Canis lupus familiaris: one gene and its partner. The protein of the gene in region 1 purifies or fractionates together with the protein of each later gene. This does not show direct contact. Links are inferred from orthologs where the notes say so. Each region holds a gene or a part of one and is shown on either strand. Other genes may lie near its edges. The genes, in order: LURAP1 and CDC42BPB.

Region 1 (4,253 bases):
GCCAAAACAAAAAAGTTTTTTGTGGTTCCCCATGGCCTATAAAATACAACCCAAGCACCATAGAACCATCTTCTATAGCCACATTACTCCAAGTGTGGTCCCTCGATCAGCAACATGGCCGTCACCTAGGAGCTTATTAGAAAAGAAGAACCGCAGGCCCCATCCCAGATCTACAGAATCACAATCTGCATTTTAACAAGGCTTGCAGAAAATTCAAATGCAGTCAAGCTTAAGAAGCATCAGTCTAAAAAAAAAAGGCATCAGTCTACAGGATCAAGCATGATCTGGCCGATCTGGACTTTTTTATCTTCAATACTAGTTGCTTCTCATTGGCCAGAAGTGTTATTTTCTACTTCTTTAATCTAAACTCAGTGGCAGGGCACCCAGCTGGCTTAGTCAGAAGAGCATGTAACTCTTGGTCTCTGGGTCTGCGTTCCAACTCTACATTGGGCATAGAGATTACATTTTTTTTTTAAGATTTTATTTATTTATTTATTTGAGAGAGGGAGAGAGATTTTATTTATTTATTTATTTGAGAGAGGGAGAGGGAGAAGCAGACTCCCTCCTGAGCAGGGAGCCTGATGCAGGGTTCCTTCCATCCCTGGACCCTGGGATCATGACCTGAGCTGAAGGCAGACACTTAACCCACGGAGCTACCCAGGTGCCCTAGAGATTACTTTAGATTAAATGAATAAATAAACTTAAAAAAAATAAATTCCGTGGCTACACTGAAAGTGCATGTGGGTGTCAGTAGCTAGCTAGATTCTAACCACTGTTCTAGACCCAACCCTCCCAACCCTCCCACCCCACCCCAGGAAGCCTTTCAAAACCCTCTGCAGTTCTGGGTCACCACTGTTCCTTAAACTCCCCTATGGCTGAGGGTGCTTAGGCTTTGTTCAGCAAACACTTATCGAACGCCTGCTGTATGCCTGCTGTATGCCGGGCCGGATTCAGTCGGCAGAATGGGGAGAAGGCACTGAACTCTGCTAGCGCTCCTTCAAGTACAAATCCAAGTACATACAGATCGCCCAGCCCCACCCATTCCAGGGCCAGACGTGTGCGCGCAGCACTCGAACACACACACGCACAGGCACAGACACGCACGCACGCCGGCACAGTCTGCGCGGCTTTTCTGAGAGTTACGGTGCCCTCCGCCCGCCCCCGCGCGGCGCGGGCGGGGACCCACCCGTTCCGCTGGGCGCCGGCAGCCGGGAGTCGAGGACCCCCGCGACCCAGCCCCAGCCGGCCGGCCGGCCGGCCGCCCGGTCCTCTTCAGCCGTAGGCCCGCATGGAGGGGACTGCGGAGTCCCAGACGCCTGACCTGCGAGATGTGGAGGGCAAGGTGGGCAGGAAGACCCCCGAAGGGCTGCTCCGCGGGCTGCGAGGCGAAGGGGAGCCGGGAACCTCTGGCGCCCCGCTGCTCCCGGGGGCGCCTGGCGCGGGCCACGGCCTGGGGGACAAGATCATGGCGCTGAGGATGGAGCTGGTGAGTGTGGGCTGCGGGGGCCGGGGCCGGAGTCCCCAGCCGGGTTGGAAGGGACAGACTTATGCCCCCAGAGTTGGGCTGGAGAGGCGAGAGTTAAGACTCCTTACCTAACTCCTCGGGATCCCTCCCAGATCAATCCTTAAACCCCGGGGTTCATTAATTGCCCCTCCCAAAGGTGAGTGGGGCGTTGATGGGTCCTGAAGACTTGAGGTGGGAGGCACTGGCTCCTGGAAGTTTTTCCTACCAAATAATTGGGAGGGGAGAGGTGAGGCTGGGAAGCACTGAGAACCTAGCAGAGCCCAAATCTCTCCCCTCCCCACCCCACCCCTCCACCAGGGGCCATCTCTCCCCTGGCCTCCATTATGGGGCAACCAGTTTCTTCTTTTGGTGCAAACTGGGCCCAGAGTTTGCTCATCTGAGGCCTCAGTGTTCATGACAAGATTCAGCTTGGAAGAGATCTGGGTGAAAACTGCCTGGACTAGAGCCACAAAAAAAACATCCTCCCTTTCCCCAAACCCCCCTCCCCAACCCCCACTTAAAGTACTTGGAAGTTCCTAGAACCCCGGGCATCAGAGTAATAGCACCATCAGCATTGGCTTCATCGCCTCTGAGCCCCCCAGGTATACTGGATTTTTGTATCTCGTACCTTCTTGGGGAGAAGAGAAGGAAACAGGCACCCTCCCCCTCCTTTGTTGCTGCTAGTCTAGATTCAGAGCCAGAAGGGCATTTGGGGCTGCCCAGGCTCCCCAAGGCCCTGGTTCCAGTGAAGGGGGTAATTTACACCTGCCACCACTCTGCAGCCAGTTCTGGGGAACTGAAGAATTCTCTCTGGCTCAGAACCAGGAGGCCACAGTGAGTGTGTCAGCTAATAGGTCTTTCTGGAGCCCACCATCTGCCTAGCTGGGCTGTGAGAGAGCAGAGGAGGGCATGGGGGCTCTTAGGCTGAGACCGGAGCCTTCTGAGCAGAGCAATCAGGGAAGGCTCCTTGGGGGAAGGATTTAAATGCCAAGTGTGTGCTTGGCCCTGAAGGTTGGAGGTAAATACCAAATTCTTCAGAGCAGGCCTGTGACTGCCCACCTGAGGGAGGGGCTTGACTTTGCTTCATCGTATAAAGTGGTGCCAGGCATCATGCTGAGCACTTGACAAAATATTCTCTTACTCCTCACAGCAACCCTATTAGGCAAGTGATATTTTATAGATAAAGAAACTGAGGCACCGAGAGGTTAAGTAACTGCCCAAGGTCGTACAAAAAGTAAAAAGCAGAGCCAGCCTTTGAACTCAGACCATCTGCCTGCACTTTACATCTTTACCATTGAGATCTGCTTTGTGCCACTTTAAAGACTTTAAAGACGCTTTATGTCATTGAAGTGGGAAAAGCAGTCATCGTTCCCCCATCGCGTAGATGAGGCAGGCTTGCCGGTGTTAAGGGGCTCGCCTGGCCTCACACAGGGAACCAGTGGAGGAGCCCTGCCTCTTCTTTGGTTCTGATTCTTTTGCCTTTGATGGAGATTACCTGTCTGTAAACTTTAAAGGGGGTACATTTAACTTCTGATTAGGTCTCTGCATTCTCGACCTAGCCTGGCCTGGGACTCTAGGCTGCCCATGAAGGAGGGGGCCTGCTGGGGGCCAGAACAGGGAAAGGCTCCCTCCCTTATTCCTTTCTCCTTCCTTGGCCAAGATGTCATTGATGTCATTGTGTACTCAGCCCTGCCCACTGTGGGGGCTGGGCAGAGGGTTTCAGTGGCAGAACTGTTCCAAGCTCTCTGAACACAGTCCTTCCAACTGTCCCTCTCCCAGCAATCATGCAGGGAGTGGGCAGTCATGCTCCTAAGGCCAAGGTTATTCCTGCCTCTAGGCTCCTTTTCCTCTTGCTTCCCTCCCCCTCTCCCAGGTTCAGTGAACCAGCCAGACTCTGGGGTTGGTGGGAAGGGAAACAATGGCAACCTCCCCTACTTAATCCTCCTACTCAAACAACTGTTGCTGCGACAACCCACCCTCACAGGGCAACCTGAAAAAAAGCTTTAGGCAAGGAGGGGGATGTCCTGGGTTCAAGTCCTGACTCAGCTTCTGAATTATTTAGAGGTCTTTTTTTTTTTTTTTTTTTTAATTTATTTATGATAGTCACACACAGAGAGAGAGGCAGAGACACAGGCAGAGGGAGAAGCAGGCTCCATGCACCGGAGCCCGACGTGGGATTCAATCCCAGGTCTCCAGGATCGCGCCCTGGGCCAAAGGCAGGCACCAAACCGCTGCGCCACCCAGGGTTCCCCATTTTGAGGTCTTGAGTAGAGCCCTGACTTTCTGTTGATCTCAGTTTTCCTGATTCTTGGAGGATGAAGGGACAGGGGCTTGTGGGACCAGATAGTCCTAGTAACGTTAGTCTGAGAATCTCAATCCTTGGCCAGGGAGCTGAGCCTGGAATCTCCTGGCTTTACCCCAGGGCCTGATTTGGATTGAGCAAGGAGGAAGCCATACTCGTGACCCTGGGACTGAGCAGAGTCTGATGGGGGAGGTGTTAAGAGGGGTAGTGGGGGACCTGAATCTCCTCAGGGAAAAGAACTGGGTTGGAGTGGCCTTTGAGTCTGCCTCTCTCCTGAGGTGCTTATCCCTTCTGTTTCCAAAGAGATGGTATGGAATGAGTGTTTCTTTTTCTGGCAAGAAAGTGTTGCTTTTTTCTATTCTGGGGAGCCATGCTGTCACAGTCAGGGAATCCCACTGTCGCAGGGCTATACAGTCTAGTTCTCAGATTCATTTCCCTTCAACACGG
Region 2 (4,422 bases), on another chromosome or scaffold:
AGAACTAGGCCTTTATCCTAAAACAAGTGAGAAATCTCAGGTTTTGAGCCAGGTGGGCTGCTCAGTGCCACCTCTTCTCTTTTAAAGCTGAGGCATCCTACATACAAAGTGCACAAACATTCAGAGTTCAGCTTGATTAAAATACAGATGTAGAGATCCGTGTTGCAGACGGGTCTGGTCAACATACACAATGTTCCTAGGGGAGTAGTTTGAAGAACGCTGCTTACACGCACTCCTGCAAAGCTACCACCTGATAAAATGATACAACACTTGCAGCAGCCAGGGAGCCCGTCTTCCACCGTCTACCTGCTCTGCCCCCGCCCCTCCCCGGGGTCAGGCTTCCCACGGCCCTGCACCCTCCCTCCCAGCTCCCAGCCACCCCCGTGGGCTCAGTGACACCCACGAGGTGCGGGCGGGCCCTGCTCTCCGAGGGTCTGTTTGGGTGAGGGTGCTCTCCATCCTCCCCCCGCCCCCCATAAACCAACAATCTCCCTGAAGCAGTGGGATCTCCAGGCAGACCCGGCCTGGACACAGCCTACCAAAGGCCCACCCACAGCGGAACCTGAAGAAGCCGCGGGGGTGGGGGGGCACCTCGAATTCACGAGGGGCCGGGCGGCCCGTGGGTCGCCGCTCTGCAGCGGGCTGCGCCCAGTCGGCCTCCGCTTCCCAAGGCTGCTACGAGCTCGGACGCGCCCTGCGTTTAGGCCAGCGGGTCACGCCGCCGAAGCCCCCCACCGCGAGCCGCCGCGGGTCCCTCGGGCTCCCCCGCGGGTGCGCGTGCGCCCACGCGGGGCCCGCACCCCCGGGGCTTGTCCGCGCAGCGCGGGCGCACGCCGCCCGGGCGTCCTTTGCGCAGGCGCGGGCGCGCAATCTCGGCGGCGCACTGGCCGCGCGCTCGCCCCGCCCCCTTCTCCTGGCCTTCCCAGCATCCCGGACGCCCTACGGCAAGCGGCGAGGTCCCGTCCCGCCGGGAGCCGGGAGCCGGGAGCGCAGGGGGCGGGGCGCCGCGCTGAGGTCAGCGCGACGGCGGCCGGCCCCGCCGTGGTTGGCTGCGCCCGCGCTGGCCGCGCCCTGGTTGGCTGCGGGCCGCGGGGCTGGGCCGCCGGGTCGGGGCTGGGGTCGGGGCTCGGGCGCCGGCCGGGCTTGCGCTGCGCTCGGCTCCGCGCCGCTCCAGGTCCGCGGCGGGCGGTGAAGGCGGGGAGGGCGCGGCCGCGGGCGGGGCTGAAGGGCGCGCGGCGGGCGGCGGCGCGAGGCGAGGCGAGGCGAGGCGAGGCGAGGGCGGGCTGCGCCGGGCGGGGCGGGCGGCGGCGCCGAGGGGAGGAGACCGGCCCATGGACCCGCGGGGCCCGGCGCCCCAGACGCTGCGCCGCCGGGACCGAGCCCAAGATGTCGGCCTAGGCCGGGGCGCGACGACGCGGACGGGGCGGCGACGAGGCGCCGCAGCTGCTGGGGCTCGCGGCCGCCGGGCCCCCGAGGGCTCGCCCTGACGGCCTGGCCGAGCGGGCGGCGAGAGTCCGGCGCGTTGGGAGCGGGCCGCGCGGCACCATGTCGGCCAAGGTGCGGCTCAAGAAGCTGGAGCAGCTGCTCCTGGACGGGCCCTGGCGCAACGAGAGCGCCCTGAGCGTGGAGACGCTGCTCGACGTGCTCGTCTGCCTGTACACCGAGTGCAGCCACTCGGCCCTGCGGCGCGACAAGTATGTGGCCGAGTTCCTCGAGTGGGGTAAGTGCGCGCGGCCCGCCTGCCCCCCGGCCCCCGGCCCTCCGCCCTCGGCCCTCGGCCCTCTCCCCGGCCCGCTCTCCGCCTTCCGCGCCTCCTGCCTCGCCGGCACCCCACACCGCCGCCCCCTCCCCTCCCCGCCCCTCCCCGCCCCTCCGCGCCCCGCCGGGCCGCTCCTCGCGCCCTCGTCCCTTGGAGGCTCGGGGTCCCTCCCTGCCCTCCTCCTTGGCCCTGGCGCATCCGCGCTCGGCCGGCCCGCCCCCTCATCCTGCCCCTGGGAGCCACATCCTCCGTTCCCACCCCCACTCGCTCCCCGCCGCCGGCCAGCGCCCGGGCCGCTTCCTAGATCCACCCTCCGAGTCTGGATATCATTTCCTGCAGCACTCCCCGGGAAATCCGCCCCCACCCCCGCCCCGGCTCTGGGGTCCAGAGTCAGCGTCGAGCCCCCCCCCCCACGCCCCCGCACACGCCTTGCTGGCGGGTGGAGGCAGCCGCGTGCGATTTTTACATCCGCGTGTCCACCTCCCCGTGGGGCCCCCCCATCTGCGTGTGCGTTTCCGGGGAGCCCAGTTCTATCGGCCCTTCCTAGGTGACAGCCTGCTCCATCCCGTTAATGTCCAGGGCTTGAACACCCTTTACCGTAGCAGCTCCAAGGGAGTTTTCAGGTTAACAGCCTTATTTTGCAAGAGCAGATCGATTCTTTTCATTGTAATCGCACTAGACTTGGAATACGTTTGGGGGCAGCTGGAACTGACAGTATACAGGAATCGTTGAAAAACTTCGTTCATCTGATCTTTGCATGCCTTCCCTAGTTTGTCCAAGGATCCGTAGCGCTGTAATCATTGATCAGCCAACCTATTTTGCTTTATTAGGACAAAAGTTTGATTAAGCCATTTTATGATCCTTAGAGTCTCGAAGACGCTACAGGTGCAAAGTGAAAGCCTTTCGCTTCATCTCTAACTAACATGGGCATCCTGTCAAGATCCTCAGGCTCACCTGTAAGGACCTAGTAGGCACATGGAGTCTTCTGTTCAGGCCAAACCTATCCTTGAGTCACTTGCGTCATTGGGCTGGGACTGTGCAGTTTGAACCAGTAATTTCTGCTCTTTGGGGCTGATAAAGGTGATATTTACAATGAAGAAACAAATGTATTCTGAAGTGAGGCCTCTTACTCTGCCAAAATGGTAACTGGAATTTGAGGATTTGTTTACTAATTAAAATTTAAGTTGAGGTATTCTTTACAGGGTTTGTTTTTGCTTTTTAGCGAAATGATGTTTTGTGAGAACCGCAGTAGAAAGGAGTCCCAGAGCCCCAGGACAGCCCCATCATGCTTTATTTCAATGGAGACCACTGCTCTTGGCTATATATAAACAATATCAGTAAAACGAGTGTTCACTTTCTGGGATCTTTTATCAGTGATGTGATTTTCAGCCAAATAACTCATTTTCATAGTTGCTTTGAAAATGAGGTCTTTGGTGCTTGTTGCATCTGAACCTTCTGAATATTGTATTTGCCTCTTCTTAGCAGTTGCTGTCGAAATCCAGACAGTTCCACAATCAGGTTCAACTTGGTGCACGCTATGTGCGTGCATAGCAGTGTGATGGAAAGGTGAAGTGGAGGGAGGGTTGTTGGAGTGGCGAGGTGTGCTCCAACTGGCTGGCCTCTGGGGTGAAGTCAGAGCTGGACACCTTGTACATGGGTGGTTCTTATGTAGCCCCTTAACCACCCGACCGGACCAGCCACGCTGTGAACTGGCTGGCTTCACTGGAGCCAGCTCTTCTCAGCATGTGCGGAGTTCTTATTGTATGAGATTTGACCTTTCCAAATTGAAACAGAAGCTGTGTGCTATAATTTAGAAATACTTTTGAAATTGTATTCTGTTTTTTTGAAAATTATCACAGATGAATTACATTGGCCTAACAATTCAATATGCATAGACATGTAAACCTTAAATTGCAGGGAAGAAAAATGGATCAAGATTTAAAGTGGCATTTTAATGAAATATTAATGCTACTTCTAAATACTACTAATAAAATATGAAGTAGTATTTAATGTATACCATTATAACTCTGCAAGGGGTGTGTTACTAATGAAGATATGTGTACAGTCATTATTTATTATTACTTAGAATGGCTACATGTTACAACCAGAAGGTGAAGAGTGGTCTGTCAAGTGGAATTGTGGAGCATTGTCAGGTGCCCTGACTTCCATGTGGAATTACTTCTGCTCTGGAAAAGAAGATACAAGCTATCAGCCTAGGGGTTGCTGAATTTTGGATTCACACTCTGCATGGTGTTTGAAACCTCCAAAATGTGGAGTTCTGTCTTACAGAGGGCCAACTTCTCCCCACTTTCCATTAGACACTAGGTGTCTAATGACAATTAGGTAGAAATCTTGAAGCTTGATGGAGAAATATAACCTATTCGGTTCAGATTTTGAGACTTACTGAGGAATCTTTGAGACAATTTGGAAAGTATAGGTAATAAAGTTTTTAAGTTTTTTTTTTACTTTTTAAAATTTATTATAACAACATGATAATTAATTTTAAAATTATTTTCAGAGGTAGAATTTCGTGATTCAGCAGTTGCATATAATACCCAGTACTCATCACATCATATGACCTTCATGCCCATCACCCTCTTACCCCTTCCCTCTACTCCCTACCCTTCCAGCAACCCTCAGTTTGTTTCCTATGATTGAGACTC

Evidence for each region.
Region 2: the proteins of LURAP1 (region 1) and CDC42BPB purify together in Homo sapiens (co-immunoprecipitation; 3 studies listed by BioGRID and IntAct, with this or other methods). This does not show direct contact. The link is inferred for Canis lupus familiaris from reciprocal best matches to the Homo sapiens genes LURAP1 and CDC42BPB.

The regions. Positions count from the first base shown.
Region 1 is NC_049236.1:14,262,090-14,266,342, reverse strand, and holds the start of LURAP1 (leucine rich adaptor protein 1), read left to right. Parts: upstream 1-1,178; 5' UTR 1,179-1,288; coding exon 1,289-1,486; intron 1,487-4,253. UniProt on the Homo sapiens protein: Acts as an activator of the canonical NF-kappa-B pathway and drive the production of pro-inflammatory cytokines. Promotes the antigen (Ag)-presenting and priming function of dendritic cells via the canonical NF-kappa-B pathway.
Region 2 is NC_049229.1:71,318,021-71,322,442, reverse strand, and holds the start of CDC42BPB (serine/threonine-protein kinase MRCK beta), read left to right. Parts: upstream 1-1,476; 5' UTR 1,477-1,545; coding exon 1,546-1,720; intron 1,721-4,422. UniProt on the Homo sapiens protein: Serine/threonine-protein kinase which is an important downstream effector of CDC42 and plays a role in the regulation of cytoskeleton reorganization and cell migration. Regulates actin cytoskeletal reorganization via phosphorylation of PPP1R12C and MYL9/MLC2.